Drosophila melanogaster: one gene and its partners. The protein of the gene in region 1 purifies or fractionates together with the protein of each later gene. This does not show direct contact. Each region holds a gene or a part of one and is shown in the gene's direction. Other genes may lie near its edges.

Region 1 (3,090 bases):
CACTTCGATGGGTATGCACTGTACAGTGCGTGGTGAAACTATAAGGATAAGTTACTTACTAAGTTCACTATACGAGTTTTCTATAAGGGAATATACTCTTAGACTTGAGAACATGCAACTGTTTGCGGAAACTATCTGTTAAATATTATTTCTCGTTTAATAACTAACATATTTCTTAAATTCCACAACAGTTTCGTGACGCACTGCCCGTTGTGAGTGTGTGGAAAATGCCAGGGAAAATGCATAAAGCGGCGGATGTTTTCATAATTTTTAATGCTTTAGTTTTATTTAAGTGTTTATGGAGAATAACTAATGAAAAACGTCATGAATTGCATATTCCGCCGCACTCGGGTATTAATAAACGGGCGGCGTGCATGGGCCTGTGCTTGTGTTAAAGCGCAACATGATTCGCTCGATTTAAAATGCATTTCCATGCCAATGGCAACGCGCCGAGTTGCCGCCCTTTGATTTATAAAACAGGCCGTTTCCTTAGCCGATTCCCCAGTCTCGACCGCATCCCAGATCTCTGCTCCATGTCGCCGCTGTTTGTTTACTTAATGTCAATGCAATTAAGGGGAAATACTTTTGGGCAAATATCTCGTTGCCAGCGACCGTGCCTAAAACAAATAAGCAGTCTCGTTACTTTACAGCCAGATCTCTTATATTTCCACGCTTTAAATGCTCTTGCGAATGTTCAGTTTACACATCAAATCTTAGCTATTCTAACACAAAACAATAAGCCAGGTTGTAGGTTGGGGTGTTTCATGTTGTCCAGGTATCCAGGGCAAGGCTCTGCAAGATAAAGGGATTAAGGATTGCGATTAGTTACAAACTTTTGGGATAGATGTTGTATCTGAATGGCAGATCTCTTAGGCAAGTGGTTCTCATGTTACACATATCTATTATTGTACAAATAAAATTCCTAATTAAACTATTATTGTATAAGACGGAGACTTTAAGATGCTAGTTTGCAAACAAATATTATAACTTAAGGTTTAAACATAGTCTATAAATTTATTAGACAAATACAGGGAATAGTTTACGGAATGTTGTCCTTGGATAATGTCATATTTTATGTCAAGAACTTAGCAACCTAGCATAAACACAAAATTCTAAAAAATGGAACTTACACAATCAAAACATTGAAATATAAGGCGACTACGCTGAATCACGGATCTTGCGCGGGGTTTAATGGCTTAGCTTAGGGTTCGGTACTGCGACTTCACTCCTTCTTGGGAACACTCAGCTCGTAGAAAAGCTTGCCCATGCCACCGATGCCGACGAGGGCGAGAGCGACGGTGACGCGGTAGAGCACGTTGTCCACGACGGATCCCTTGAGGAAGACGGGCTTGCCGTCCTTCTTCTGAAAGTGCTCCTGCACCTTGCGGATCTCGAAGTATCCCTTCTCGATCTGGTCCTTGGGCACGGCGGCGGACCGGCGGCCAGCGGTGGTAGCGAAGCTACGGACAACAGCCTGCCGAGGAGTACAAAATGTGCGGTTAGTTCTGAGGCTCCAGGGAACTTACGTAATTGGATGTAGGTAATGGGATCTCCAGTGTTTCGGAACTCATGCTGTTCCTCCAGAAAGGTGTGTAGAGTAATGTAAATTACTTACTCTCGACAGGTTCATCATTTTGCTGGGGTTTATTTTTAAGATTTAGCAAAAAGTGAGCAGTTTTCCTGGGCGAAAAATATCGGTCTGAAATATGACAGCTGACAACTGGAGATATATCGATGTATTATCGATACATCGATGTCGATATTTCCAGCAGTTTGGCATTCACCTGGAAATTCCTATTTAGTTTAATAAACAATTTAAGCAGCTGCCAATAAAAACATTTGTTTATAATTCCATAGCGTTACTAAAATACAGACGTTGTCATGGGCTTCCTCACAGTATTAAAAAAGATGCGACAGAAGGAAAGGGAAATGCGCATATTACTGCTGTGAGTTCCATGGAATTATAAAAAAATAAATAGTGATTCATGTATCGACTTTCTTATAGAGGTCTGGATAATGCCGGCAAGACGACAATCCTGAAGCGCTTTAATGGCGAACCCATAGACACCATCTCACCCACACTGGGATTCAATATTAAAACCTTGGAGCACAACGGCTACACCCTGAATATGTGGGATGTCGGTGGCCAGAAGTCTCTGCGATCCTACTGGAGAAACTACTTCGAGTCCACTGATGGTCTGGTCTGGGTGGTGGATAGCGCTGACAGGATGCGCCTAGAGTCCTGCGGCCAGGAGCTGCAAGTTCTGCTCCAGGAAGAGCGATTAGCTGGAGCCACACTCCTAGTTCTCTGCAACAAACAGGATCTACCGGGAGCCCTCTCATCCAACGAAATTAAAGAGGTTCACTCTCATTGATTTTTTATTGAAACAACACATTTAATATACTTTATATTTAAAGATACTACACCTAGAGGATATCACCACACATCATTGGCTGGTGGCCGGAGTTAGTGCAGTGACTGGCGAGAAACTGCTTAGCTCCATGGACTGGTTGATCGCCGATATAGCTAAGCGTATATTCACTTTGGATTAAATACAATTTATTTTACTTCCTTATTTCTCGACCAAGTACATTTTGTATAGCTTTTCCTGCTTTTCGTCCGCAAAATTGGGCTTAAAGTTCACCTTGTGTATGGATATAAATCCTTCGTCTAGGGCGGGTTCCTGGTACTTTTTCTTCATCATGTTAAATACCATGTCCTTGATCTTGGTGCGCGCGGAGTCTGATAGCTCTCGGAAAGCTATATTGTGCTTCACTTGGGCGACGGGCACATTCATCACAAGGCAGCGGCATGGAATCATCTTTTCGCTGGCCAACTGCAAGAATTTTTTTCGAGAAGCTGCATCCACATTGGTGTTATCCACCACACATGATTGGCCCGAGTCCAGGAACCGTTTACAGGCAGTCAGGCAGTTTTGAGTGCTACCCAATGTATCTGCATTGACGATTTTGTAGCCCCGCGGTTGAAAAAAGCTGGAACAAAAGTGGCTCTTTCCGGATCCTGGCAGACCCACCATGATGACCATTTCGCAGGGGTGGTCATCGAGGGTCAAGTCATCCGGATCAAGC
Region 2 (3,865 bases), on another chromosome or scaffold:
CAAATCGAGTTACTAAGTTACAACCAAATATCGGAACGGAATAAATATGTCTTTAATATTTTTCTAGTACTTAAGTGTTGAAATGTTGCGAACGAAGGATGAATGTTAGAAGTACAAATGCTTTTTAGGACATTTGCACGCAGTAGGGCACAACACATCAAGCACACAACTATAACTACTCTATCTATATATAACTACATACATACTGCGATTATGTATTTAACTAAAAGGTAAAAGAGCGCCGCAAAGAGAAATCAACTTTCTACGACAGTTTGGGAATAGTTTTTAGTATCTGTATCTTTTATTTATTTCGAATATGCAAAGACAGTGTTTTCATTTAAACTTCTTTGTCGGTTTGACAAATAACATGCTTCTTTCTGTGGCACGGATCATCGTTCATTTTGCTCCTAATCAGCTCCACACAGTTCTCATCTTCATTGCCGTGATTGGGTTCGCCCGCATTCCAATTGAGGAATTCAACTTCCCTGCCGGATGCCACGGATACGTAGGTGTTACTGCTTTGCAAGTCGTTTATGCCCAGCCAGTAGCTCTTGTCGTCCAGTCTCGCTGAAATGGCGTCCAGCTCCTCTTGATCCTTGATGGCGGCTATATAGCCACCCATGTCACGACAGAAGTCTACAGCGGATTGCCAGTCGTAGGCATCCTTGTGATTTATGTAGAAGAGTCTAGAGCCGATTCGCTCAAATTTCGGCCAGAAGACCTTGGTATAAATTTCCTTGAGTGTGACTTGGTTGGCGGACTGCTGAGCTCCCAGCTTGGTCAGCTCATCCTTCTGATTCTGCTCCAACTTTTGCAATTTCCGTTCAAAATCCTCTGGGATCTTCTTTAGAGTTTCCTGAAGTAACTTCTGCTGTTCTTCAATCTGAGCCAGCCGCATTTCGAAATTTATCGGCATGGCGTTCTTTAGGGCTTCCAACTGATCCTGCTGAGATTCCTTGGTGAGATTGATTTGATTTTCCAACTGGTCGCCCAATGTCTTTTGCTGATTTTCCATTTTCATTAGCCTCGCATCGAGTTCAGCTGGCATTTTCTTTAGAGACTCCTGCAGTGTCGTCTGAAGATGTTCCATTCGGTCCAGTCTATCCTTGATGTCTCCTGGAACCTTCTGCGCTGATTCCTCCAAGGATAGCGCTTGTGCCGCCAGCTGGGTCTGTATCCTGTCCAATTTGCCCTGGGTTTCGTTCAGCCAGAGGGCCTCGGAGGTGTTCCATTGCTCCTGGTGCTTTACAATGTGATCCAATAGCGGTTGGAGCACCGAAAGGCAGAATTCTCCGCACTGATTTGGCGGATCTTTCAGAAGGCACACGGATCGGGAATTTTCTGTGGATTCCGCTCGTGATTCAACCAGATTGCAGGCAACAAGTAAGTACACAATACATTTTTCAAGCCTAAACATTTTGATATCGCACAACCACTGCAAGCGCAGAAATAAAACGTACTGATCCGCATTTTATGTAAAAGGTTCTACAGAGCAAAAAAGATAAGACCCATAATTTAAATTTAATTCCGTTTTTGCATTTATCAAGAATTTATCGCTTCTGTGGGCGACATTCAATGTGCTTTGTGTTCGGCGAGATGTTTGATTGTATTAAGTTTCTTACGCTGCTTACAAGAGTTCATAATTAATATTATCGCATTTCTCCTATAAAAAATTCAAATCTAAAATTTCCCTGGCGCGTATTCTTCTTCTTGCCGCCGTTGCCATTCACCGTGCGCATTAAACGGTAATGTTGTTTGGTCTTTTTTAGTACATAACTGTTGACACTCACAACGATTAGGCAACATTTGTTATTGTGAGCAGCTGCACAAAATAATAAGAAAATTAAACAAAAGGTTAATAAACAGAATAAAAATAATATAATTTCTCTTAATTTGAACTACAATCACTGCGCATATGATACGTGCCCAGTAAGAAAGCCGCGTTTTCCATGCATTTCTCTGCAGCTGCGCAACTTGGCAAGAAAAACAACAACAACTGTGATTCATACGGCCAAATAGAAGTTATGCCCTAGAAATTGATTTTTAACCAGATATTTCGTTATAGATTGATACCGAAAATCATGGAAGGCGACGCGGAAAATCGCAAGGATCAAATCCTCGAGCGTTTGAACAAAAGAAACAAGGACAGGCAAAACTATTTGGATGTGAAATCGGAGCTGCGTTCCAAGGAAACAGTGCAGAACGAGGGCGTTGACTACTTCTACCAGACTTTCAGCCAAAAAACCATGGATATAGAGCAGCGATTAAAGGATGTGCAGTGCGGCGATGGCCAGCCAACCGATTTGGCCAGAAACTTCGCCGACATAACTGTGGAGATCCAGGATCTGCAGCGATATCTCACCGCATCCACCATGTTTCTGCCCGACTTCAAGATCAAATCCTGTCAGAATATCCTTAACACCCTGACCGCCGTCAGTGATGAAACCCGCCAGCGCCTGTTGCCCAAGAAAAAGTTTGGTTTCAGTGGCAAAAAGACCGTCACAAAGCCAAAAGTCCCTCCAAATAAGGATATAGTCGACGCGAAACTCAGTAAAGTCCCAGAAAAACTAGGCTCCAATTTCACGTGGACGATTGCCAATCGAACGAACGAGCATATAGTCCTGGATTCCGCTAAAGTCAATGGCCAGGACATCACAATATCGAAACTGAACCACTGTTTGGTTGAACTGCAGGGTCATCCCGGTTCTGTGCAGGTTTCCAGGGCCTCCAAATGCACGCTGCTATGCGGCCCCATCGCACGCTCCTTCTTCGCCGAGAATCTCGAGGATTGCACCCTCTCCATTGCCTGCCAGCAGTTGAGGTTGCACTCCTCCCGGTCCATTCGCATATACATGCATGTCACCTGCCGCGCAATAATCGAGGATTGCAAGAGTATTGAGATCGGAGAGTACAACTACGATTATTCCAAACTGGAGGCCGACTACCTAGCTTCTGGACTGAATAAGGCACAGAACAACTATACGGATGTGGCCGATTTTAACTGGCTTTCGCCGGATGTCCCCTCGCCGAACTGGAGCCTCCTCAAGGATTATCCCGATCCGAATTGGAACGCCTTAAGGCGCGACTTTATTGCCAATAACCATAACAGCGAACTTAAGCAGGATGTCAAGGACATATCCATCATTTAGTGGCGGCATCGGCGGCTGCTCCTCGGTTGGCTAGCCTACGGCATCATCCTCGGTTGGCTGCTCTGGGAAATGCTGCTGCGGCCCTCAGTTACAGGCCCAAAATCTAATCCTCGATCTGTGTAATTAGCTATAAGCGTGTTGATTAAATAACCATTATGTAAAAAACAAAAATAGTCTCTTGTATATTAAGGGACTCCAAATCATTGTCAAAATTTTTTTCAGTATCTCAGCAGTAATCATTTTGGAGTGGGTGAGTTAAAGTTTGACTTCTTCGATAACATATGTACATATGTACATGCGTATGTACATATGTATCTGTTCTTGTTTATGTCGTGGCTAATTTGACATGTCCAATTCGGATGTGGCATAATCAGTGGTTGGCCAAAATGGCTGTGGCTGCCACACACATTCCGGAATGGGCGGAAGACGGCGCCTCATGCAAGTTTCATGTGGCCACAACAGAACCTCTCAAGCCATTGCCTGCACATTGATCGGGTCACTCCACTTACACATCAGGTTTGTTCTGAAAATGCAAAAGTAAAGAAATACTTTAGAAAAGCAAATTCGTATGTACATATGCTTTTCATTGCGTTTTCTGATTTGATGCAAAACTAAATTGATATTAATAATTTATTTTTGTTTATTTTAGTTTTTTCGAACTGTCAACTTCAAAACTTATACGCAATTTTAAGTTAGAGTATCTGTTCTTCGTCATC
Region 3 (4,779 bases), on another chromosome or scaffold:
AATTAGCTCACTACAATCCACTCTTTTTCAGTATATACGAATGATATTACCGTGCACTACAAGAATGCAAGCCCAACTGCAATTAACAGTAATTGGCGTAGCCATTCAGCAGCATTGCAAAACTACAGAAAGGGACCAAAAATGTAGATTTGAACAATTTTAAACTGGCTGGATATTGACTCGCATCAGTAATATAAAATTCTCCATAAAAATGCACCTCAGTTTTCAATGATAAAATAGAATGTAATGATAGATAGAATGTAAATGATAGAATGATGCGTTTTCGACCTTATAAAGTATTTTCCTTCAGGATCACTAGCCAAGTCGATTTGGCCGGACGGACGGACATGTCCCGATGAACGTCGAGATCTCAGGAACTAAACAAGCTAGAACGTTAAGAATAAGCATGCTGAAACGCAGGTACTGATGTAGCCACGCCCACAACCTGCGAAAAACTGTCACACCCACACTTAAAAATTTGTTTTTCAATTTCTATCGATATGCCAAAAAATGTTTCAATTTCTCGTTAGTAATTCCACTAGCTGGAGTATCTGATAGTCAACGAACTCGACTATAGCGATCTCTCTTGTTTTTATTTACTTGCGCACCGGCCATACATTGGTTTTACATTATCCACCACTTTTTTGGTGGCCGCAAATTAAACCGAATAGGATTATATTTTTAGATTATCATTGGGAATGAGTTAGAATTAATTTAATAACAATCTAATAGTAAAATTTACTGGAGCAAATGAATGTAAATATGATTGCGAAAAATTAACGACACTGATCAAATATAATTCTGCTGCAAAGTGCTCAAGTGCATAATAAACATTTGCAGGACACTCTAGGAAGTCGACAAAAACAATACATATATATATGGGGATATACTGTCCGCTTGCTTAAAAATGTCTTTCATGGCTCCATATTTCAGATCTTAAACACCGCACTTGAAAACACCGAATTTAAATTATCTCAAAATCAAAGAATCCAAATTAACATTACAATTAAAATACGGCGGGTTGCTAATGAAATTATGTATTTTTTTTTTCTAAAATTATTAAAATTAGAGAATATCTCGAACTCAATTTGATAAAATATTTACTAAAATAAGTAGCTACGAAGGGGCATTAGTGGTAAACACATTAACAAGCTGTTAGCTTAGTACAACATTTGAATTTGAAAATGGCGCACTATCAGAATGACTATCGATGTATGCATTACCACGAAAGTTACTGCACTACATGTAGAAAATACAATCTCCTTGAAAATCCCAAATAAATAATAATCTCATAAATAGTTTATAAATTACAAGACTTTTTATGAAACTCGCATTTTAGAACATCTATGAATCGGGTATTGATTTTGGCTTCCTATTTTATATATATTTTCATGTAGCTTTTAAACAGTCGTATATAAATAGATCTGTCAAAACAATGAAGAAACATGTTAATATTAAAGGCCCCAAGATACAAAAAATTCGCAATTCCTCAATCAATCGCTGCGAACTCACTTGCGCGCAAAGCTGTTCAATAATGTTTTATTCATAAAGTCTTGCTGAAATTCTCTGTAGCAAATATCATTTAGCTAGATTTCAATCTTTTGTATTTTTCAAAAAAGTCATTTAGAATGTGACACAAAACAGTTTCGGTTCATGAAATAGGACTTATCAGCGACTTTGACATATTTAATTGTTATTAATGGCTAATATTACATACCTTTAACAAGAACGTAGATCGAACTTGATATAATCGTCTGATTGACTGAGATGGCATTGGAAAAGTAAAAAAAACCAGGAAGCAATTTAAGGTATCATTTTTTAAAAAAAAAGTTGTTACCCTACGTTGGACGTAACGAATCCTTACGTTTTGCTCATTTAACGCCCCTCGAAGTGTGACCAGTCCGCGTAATGAATAGGTATTTCATTGATATCTGCTTACAGCCACATTTGACTAAACACTAAATATAAATAATAGTTTGTGACTCAGAATTTAGGCTTCAGGAGCTACGCAAAGCTTTATTTCCTCTTCATCAAAGCTGTAATGTTGATGTAAATCCAGGAGAAATCGTTTACAGCTATATCTGAACACATTCTGGGAGCAGCTGCGAATAAGCAGACAAAGGTGTGAACGAGTGTGTAACAGCCGTGTATACTTGTGTGGGCGCCGAGGAAACTACAAACAAGAGCCAAAGCGATGGTGGGAATTATCGATGAGGTGCAGCTTTTTTATCCCCTAGGAACCCGCATCAAAATTGGGGACAACTACGGCACAGTGCGTTATGTGGGAGAGGTGAGCCGTTGGCTGGTTTGGCTTCCGCAGGCATAAGACTTAATCCCAACCTGCTATCCGTATTTTTAGGTGAGCGGCCATATGGGTAGCTGGCTGGGAATAGAATGGGACGACGGACTGCGTGGCAAACACAACGGCATCGTGGACGGCAAGCGCTACTTTCAGACGCAGACACCCACGGGAGGCAGCTTCATCCGACCGGGAAAGGTAGGGCCGTGTGCCACCCTGGAGGACGCTGCTCGGGAGCGGTACCTAAACTACGACTCGAGCAACGTCGACGAGTCTCTTATCCGGGAAGCTCAGGCCAGCCTGCAGGCGTCGCTTTTTGAAGTCGTGGGCATGGACAAGATCGCTCGCAAGCAAAGCAAGTTCGAGCAACTGGAGGAGGTGAGTGTAGACCAGACGCCGGTAAACGCTGCCGGTTACCTGAAGGAGTTGACACACCTCACAACGTTGAACGTAAGCCATACCTTAATCTGGAATTGGGAGATCGTGGCCAGCATAGCGCAACAGCTACCCTCCTTAACCAACCTGAACCTGAGGTAAGTAAAAATAAGTAAAATGTGCCACTTTAATTGCCAAACCTTTTAGCTCCAACCGATTGGTCCTGCCCACGTCATCCCAAATCACTGAGCTTGAGCCCTCATTTCGGCAGCTCAAACGCATCAACCTTCGCAGTTGTGGCTTTTCCGACTGGAAGGATGTAATGCACACAGCGCTTCTCTGGCCAAATATTTTGTCACTGGGCTTACAGGAGAATTCACTCGGCCAGCTAGCAGAAGTCGATCGAACAAAGATATTTAAGCAGCTACATGAACTCGACTTACACCGCACGAACATTATGGATTTTGACCAGGTGACAAAGTTGGGCAACCTCACGACTTTGCGCTTACTGAATATCATGGAGAATGGTATCGAGGAGATAAAACTTCCCGACTGTGATTCACAAGAAAAGCTTAATATTTTTGTCTCGCTGGAGCAGCTGAACCTGCTTCACAATCCCATTTGGAATGAGGTAGGGCAGCGTTTTTTTGGCACTAAAAAATTTACTGTCATAATGTTATCCTCGCAGGCTGATGCGTTTAACGAGCTGGACAAGCTGCCACAGCTGAAACGCCTGAGTAAGACTCCGCACTTAAAGTCAAACTTTGATGAAATGTTCTCCAAAGCTGTAGCTAGCATAGCCAGCCTGCAGTTCATTAATAAAGCCGAGGTGACAGCGGAACAGAGACGTGGAGCCGAGTACGATATTTGGAAAAAGTATGCTCTAGATTGGATGCAGGCGACGCAAGGGGGGACAGATTCCTTACGGGAGTTTTGCCGAAGACATCGCACCTACCCCCTGCTGGTTAAAAGTAAGCTACTATCTGCCTTGGACATTCCAAAATTATTTAATATATATGTTTACAGAGTACGGTTCCCCGGCAGACTTTGTACCGCGTAGTCAAGCGAAGCAGTCGAATTTGATTAATGTTTCCATAAGACATCAGCTGACGGGCGAAACCTGGGAGAAGAAAGTCCCGCGAATGATTACTGTGCAGACGCTGCAGGGATTGGTTATGAAGCGATTCCGGTTAAGCGGTGACGTCCCGCAGCTTTGCTACGTTGATGCGTTGCATCCGGATCTTGTGGTACCATTGGATAACAATGCTAAAACACTGGACTTTTATTCTGTACAGGAGCATGATACAGTTTTGGTTCAATAGCGGCCAGTATAATAGCACGGACTTTGCACCATTCTCCGTATTTAGATGTATTACAGTTTTAGACAAATGAAAATCAAAAATTCTTGTTCGATTTTACTTCTGTCTCCCTCTGTTTTAAAGTGCAAATGTTATGTTAAGGTACTAATAAGTTGAACATTTCACTAAGCAATTCCACTCAGATATTTATACTGTTTTGCTTTTCAAAAAAGAAAACACGTTATTTAACCAGATAATTAAAAAAGCTTTTTTGCTATTATTGTGGGACATAACGATGTTATCAGCTGTATTAAAGTTGAAGTAAATGTGTATTGGATTGGAAATCAACAAAAATACCGGCCGACGGCCATGGCAAGTTCGACAAGCGAAGCTACTGATCCTTGTCGAGAACATATATATTTTAATATCTTAAAAGCGGCGGGCGCAGAAACGTTATCTTTTCAATTTATGAAGCCATGCTAATAATGTGGGACATTTTTCTTTAGCGACCTCAACAGTCCGATAACTTCCTTACTCGTATAGTAAAAGGTAACTATAATTGTAGAGAAGCGCAACCTTGTTGTCGAACAGTTGCTCCTACTAGTTGAGCAACAGGTAGCTAGTTTTCTCTGATGTTTATTACTTTCCTCTGGATTCTATAATCAGCAATAATTTATGAAGAATGTAAATTCAACAGCAATTCTCAGTTTCCAAAAATATTTTCCCTAATGTAATAAATCGCTAAAATTTGCATAATTCGGCTCCAGCAACTGTCGCCTGGCATTATCATTAATAGAGTCGGACTTA
Region 4 (4,666 bases), about 20 Mb from region 1:
CAGCTGGATCGCAAGATGCCACCCAATATCATCTGTGCCGGTGCCTACAACAACAAGACTCTCTGCTTCGGCGACTCCGGTGGACCACTTCTGTTGGGGCGGCAAGTTTGTGGCATCAACACGTGGACTTTCAAATGCGGCAACAACGAAAAGCCAGACGTATACATGGGTGTGCGATACTACGCCAAGTTTATTAAAAGAACTATTAACAGAATGGGCTTTTGAAGAAATTTATTTGAGTATCACAAAATAAAAATACTGTCTATCTAAGTTTACAACTTAGTCATAAATTAAATTTTAAACTGGTATTAAGTGTGTGTGACTCGACAGACTTCATGTTATTCCATTTCAGCAGCGTTTTTTATTGTCAATCTCATGAAGCTGATAACCTAGATGTCTAAAATGACTAACTAAACCGCTTCCAATTATTCATGTAGATAAGTTTGGTTTGTTCAAGCTACGATTCTATGATTTACAAGGTTGTAATTGGAAAACAAAAATATACTGATTAAATAGCATATAATAAAATATATGTTCAATACTCAAACAACTAACTTTATATATTTCAATTACATTTTTACATTTGGCTACATTTCAATCTTGTACGTCCATGTACAATTCTACAAATCTGATTGAAGAATGCAGTTGTAGAATGTAGAATGTGGCGCTCTTTGCACCTTAGACTCACGTGCTGTTACCTCATTCTTCGACTCTCTTCTTTCTCTCCCCTCTCTCTATCTTTTCCCTAAGAATTCTCACCAGCTCAGCGAAGCGTAAGATGGGAGAGAAAGAATTGCATTGTTGGCGCCTAGCCGGTAAAAATCATACGATAAAGGGGAAAAGTCGGGAAAAGCGGGAAGACAAACACGCTGCTATGGAAAATATCTTGTTTTGTCCCACAGTTTCACTTAAACTAATGTATTTACGACCTCTGCTCTTCGCGCTCTCTGCACTTCGAGAAATCAGGGAAGATATTGCCGCAATTTTGGATAGTGATTCAAATAAATATACTCACTAATGAAGAGGAACTTAGCATGAATAAATGGTTCGGGTATTCATAGGTTTTCGAATGAAATTTGTTTTTATTGTTCATCATTTAAGAGGCATTGTTTTAAACATAACCAACGTTCTAATTAATAATCTTTATCTAAAGTATTGATGTAATTTGGGTCATGTATTAATGAAATGTTCCACCTGTAAAAAAAAAATAATAACCTGTTTAATAAAATAAACCTGTTTTATAGGGACTCTAAAAATGTATATACAGCTGTGCCCAAGATAACAGCAGCACGTTATTACAACTATAATATTTATAATTTTTAAGAGTAACAAAAGTTTCTTTGTAAAAACTTTTGTATTTTTAGAACTCTGATCTCTGATCATCTGTTTGATATGAAAAATTGTTATACTAAATTCAATACATCACCAAAACTATCTACAATATATTAATCTAAGATTGCAAACCATAATTTTATCATTTCTTATCATGCCAATTTGTAAAGGCATTTTTTTATAAATATTTTTCCGAGTGGAAAACTAATGCGGCCCCCTTTAACCGTAGAGCACAAATTCCCCAGCGGGTCGCGTTCGGTTTCTCGCCATTCATTCAGTTCACGTTGGATTCTCAAAGCGAACGCGTGTCGATCGTTCTGCTCACGAAAAGCTCTCCTCCGACTCTTCACCGGATTCAACCGAATGCGTGACCGATTGTGACTCAGATTCGGATTCAGATTCAGATTGATATAGTGGCTGATAATTGCTGATAGTGCGTGTGTGCGTCAGTGTGTTCAATTGAGTTAAGTTTGGCTGCCAAAAGTTACTAGTTCATTTGCGAAATGAGGGAAATTGTGCATCTGCAGGCGGGCCAGTGCGGCAATCAGATCGGTTCGAAGGTGCGTATAATTGATATTCCATCGGTGTTCGCATCACAGACCTTTGCTCTATTTTATAGCTACTTTTCGCTACTATCCTAACCTCACATGTTTAATTATAAAACAGGGGGAAATGAAGAAAGAGCGCTCTTTGCCTCTCTCACTGCGACTTTCTCTCTCTCTCTCTCTCTCTTGGCTTTTCACGTTTTGTTTTTAGTGGCCAGCAATTAAAATGGGTGGGGGGTTGGTGGGGGGTGGCATAGATTATTTTGCCAGTTCGGGAAACTATAAAACTGCAAAACATTGAAGAAACCTAACGTACTTGGCACTTATCTTATCGCTCGCAAGATACGAATATCAGCAACCTTAAAGTATCGCATTTAAATTACCTTGGACTCGCAGCATATCGCAGTGAATTAAACCCAGAAATCCGCTCGCAAACTAAGCAAAATCACCTCAGTCAGGTGTAAACAATTAGATCGCCGCTCAGTTGAGAGCTTGTGATCAGCCGGCTATGCAAATCTGCACAGCAAGAAAAAAAGTAGTACCTTTAAAAAGATAAATAAACTTTATATGATTATTTAATCGTTATAAAGTAGTTTCCATTTAAACACAATTATGATTTAAAATTGAATTACAGATCCTTTTTATTCATTTGTTATTATAGAATAGAAGTTGATATTTTTTTTTCAGTGTACCTGGAGGTTTCTCGTTTCAAGAAATCCGATCTGTGAACCAAGTATTTTTGGCGGGAACTCAGAGTAAAATGCGGCAGCTTAGTGCCCTGTTAGTAGCATTTTGAAACTGGCTCGAAGGTTTCTCAGAAACTTCCGTCTTTTGGACAATTAACACAACTAACTGGTTCTGTAAACTAGTACTTTTCACAGGCTTTTATGATGTTTGCCCTCGCACAGTTGGCTGATCTTACTGTCATAAAGAACTCGTCGAAGGTTTCGTGGGTACTTCTAATTACGACAGAGGGGCTTGTAAATAATGTATCTGTATCTTGAACCGATATATGTATCTGATTCATGGCTGACTGTGACAAAGTGGCGGGCTTATGTGTGCGCTGCTTTCACTATCGGCGGCCTCTAATCAGTGGGCTTGTTTACACAACTTTAAACATAAATACCCGAAAAGTAAGAACTGATATGGGTTGCGCCGAAAATAGCAATTACATAGTGTGTTCTGGTATTTTGAGTAGAAAAGCGGCAGCATGTTTGCGGGCAATTAGAGGAGTGGAAATGAAAACAGCGCCCATTCTAAGCTAATTCAGCGCATTAACATTAACTCGCACAATTTGCTGCGTCATGAAAATCCAGCTACAAAAAGTCGTTGACGTTTGACACAGTTTTTGTTTTTATAATGCTTATTTTTTTTATATGTTTTTGTCTTTTTCCCGGCATTTCCCAGAGCAGTTTTCTCTGACCGTTTCTCTTTGCGCTCGCATTGCGCGCTTTTCCTCTTGAGTTTTATGCAAACACATTTCCACATATTTTAAAGTACTTTTTTGCGTGTTTTCACCACTGCCTTTTGCAGTTAATTAGAACGCACTTTTCCGGGATAAGCCAAGCCCAACATCCGATTTTGTACGCCCCCGAATCAGAGCATTATTACATCCATATTTTGCGGCCATTGTTATGTGTAGCTATTGTGCAGTTAAAAAATAAATACGATTATTTATGCAATTTGCGCTTATCGAATTTTTATAGATGGCATAAAGCCTGTTTGTTGGTGCATTAAATTTGAATATAATAATGGCGAACATATTTTGTTGCATGTCCTATTCATGCTCTTGTGTTGTTTTTTTTTTTTTTTTTTTTTTTTGCACACTGCCCGATTTTGTGCCTTAATTGAATGTCCTTTTCTGATTAATTGGCTGTCAGTATGAAATATTGTTGCAGCCTAGAATAAACAAATAATAAATGTGCAAAACTGCCTACGTGGCAAAATAGTTTGCACAATGGTGAATGGCGTAAATGGTGAATGTGATTTTTAAATAAATTTTCAAAACTAATTGCTCCGCTGATAAAGGCCAATAAGCAAATAAAAAAAAAAAACTTAACAGATTGATTACACATTAAGAGCAGAGCTTATTCACACATGAACGGGCTGCAAACAGAATGGATTGTAATTATAAAAACAGAGCTTAACAATTGAAATCCCGGCAGCGTACGCATGTTTTGTAAACATAATGTTTTCATTGAATCACGTTAAGTTCAATTCGATTTTAAGGCAGACAGCAATTTAAGCCATTCTCTTGGCTTCGATTAAATATGGCAAAATGCCGTCGAAAACGTCTTCCGGCCTTCCTCTGCCAACACCACGAAATTGATCACATATGTATGTATGTATGTATCGAGCGAGGCAAAGGCATCTATCCAAGGATATTTTGGCCTGCAGCTAGAGTTCGTTTTTCTTTTTCTTCATTATTTACATAAACCTAATTTTCCCTAAATCATTTTGTGAACAATAACAAGGAAAATCTATTTACGGGCACGGCATAAAGCCGAAGGAAAAGCGTTGTGCCACCATGGCGGAGAAATTTATAGACGAGCAGAACGTAGAAAATGGGAGCAAAAGGGGAAAGCGGAGAAAGTCAAGCAAGAACAGACAATAAAATTAAAGAGTGGAATAAGCCAGGCTGCAACGGCTCCTTTTAGCCAGTGTGGCATGCAGTGTGGCACACCCATATAGTCTGCCCCAGGATACGTTTGTTTGGCCCATAATGGCAGGGCATCATCGAGCAGCGCCAAAATAATGCACAAAATTGAATTATCGATGACGCTCGCTGG

Evidence for each region.
Region 2: the proteins of Arl2 (region 1) and Tbcc purify together in Drosophila melanogaster (affinity purification with western blotting, with the first as the bait; one study listed by BioGRID). This does not show direct contact.
Region 3: the proteins of Arl2 (region 1) and Tbce purify together in Drosophila melanogaster (affinity purification with western blotting, with the first as the bait; one study listed by BioGRID). This does not show direct contact.
Region 4: the proteins of Arl2 (region 1) and betaTub97EF purify together in Drosophila melanogaster (affinity purification with mass spectrometry, with the first as the bait; one large-scale study listed by BioGRID). This does not show direct contact.

The regions. Positions count from the first base shown.
Region 1 is NT_033777.3:8,339,298-8,342,387, forward strand, and holds Arl2 (ADP ribosylation factor-like 2), read left to right. Parts: upstream 1-1,802; 5' UTR 1,803-1,881; coding exon 1,882-1,946; intron 1,947-2,005; coding exon 2,006-2,360; intron 2,361-2,363; exon of another isoform or gene 2,364-2,418; coding exon 2,419-2,553; 3' UTR 2,554-2,573; downstream 2,574-3,090. Other genes in the region: COX7A (cytochrome c oxidase subunit 7A), read right to left, coding at 1,223-1,474, 1,527-1,571; PNKP (polynucleotide kinase 3'-phosphatase), read right to left, coding at 2,574-3,090. UniProt on the Drosophila melanogaster protein: GTP-binding protein involved in protein trafficking; may modulate vesicle budding and uncoating within the Golgi apparatus.
Region 2 is NT_033779.5:4,185,700-4,189,564, reverse strand, and holds Tbcc (Tubulin-binding cofactor C), read left to right. Parts: upstream 1-1,771; 5' UTR 1,772-1,998; intron 1,999-2,065; 5' UTR 2,066-2,081; coding exon 2,082-3,149; 3' UTR 3,150-3,315; downstream 3,316-3,865. Other genes in the region: lectin-24Db, read right to left, coding at 338-1,417.
Region 3 is NT_033778.4:6,040,734-6,045,512, forward strand, and holds Tbce (Tubulin-binding cofactor E), read left to right. Parts: upstream 1-1,798; 5' UTR 1,799-1,916; intron 1,917-1,921; exon of another isoform or gene 1,922-1,975; 5' UTR 1,976-2,194; coding exon 2,195-2,290; intron 2,291-2,359; coding exon 2,360-2,832; intron 2,833-2,881; coding exon 2,882-3,305; intron 3,306-3,362; coding exon 3,363-3,645; intron 3,646-3,700; coding exon 3,701-3,996; 3' UTR 3,997-4,231; downstream 4,232-4,779. UniProt on the Drosophila melanogaster protein: Tubulin-folding protein which is required for the development of the neuronal microtubule network. Essential for the development and function of neuromuscular synapses.
Region 4 is NT_033777.3:27,985,325-27,989,990, reverse strand, and holds the start of betaTub97EF (beta-Tubulin at 97EF), read left to right. Parts: upstream 1-1,606; 5' UTR 1,607-1,835; coding exon 1,836-1,892; intron 1,893-4,666. Other genes in the region: CG4815 (uncharacterized protein), read left to right, coding at 1-225.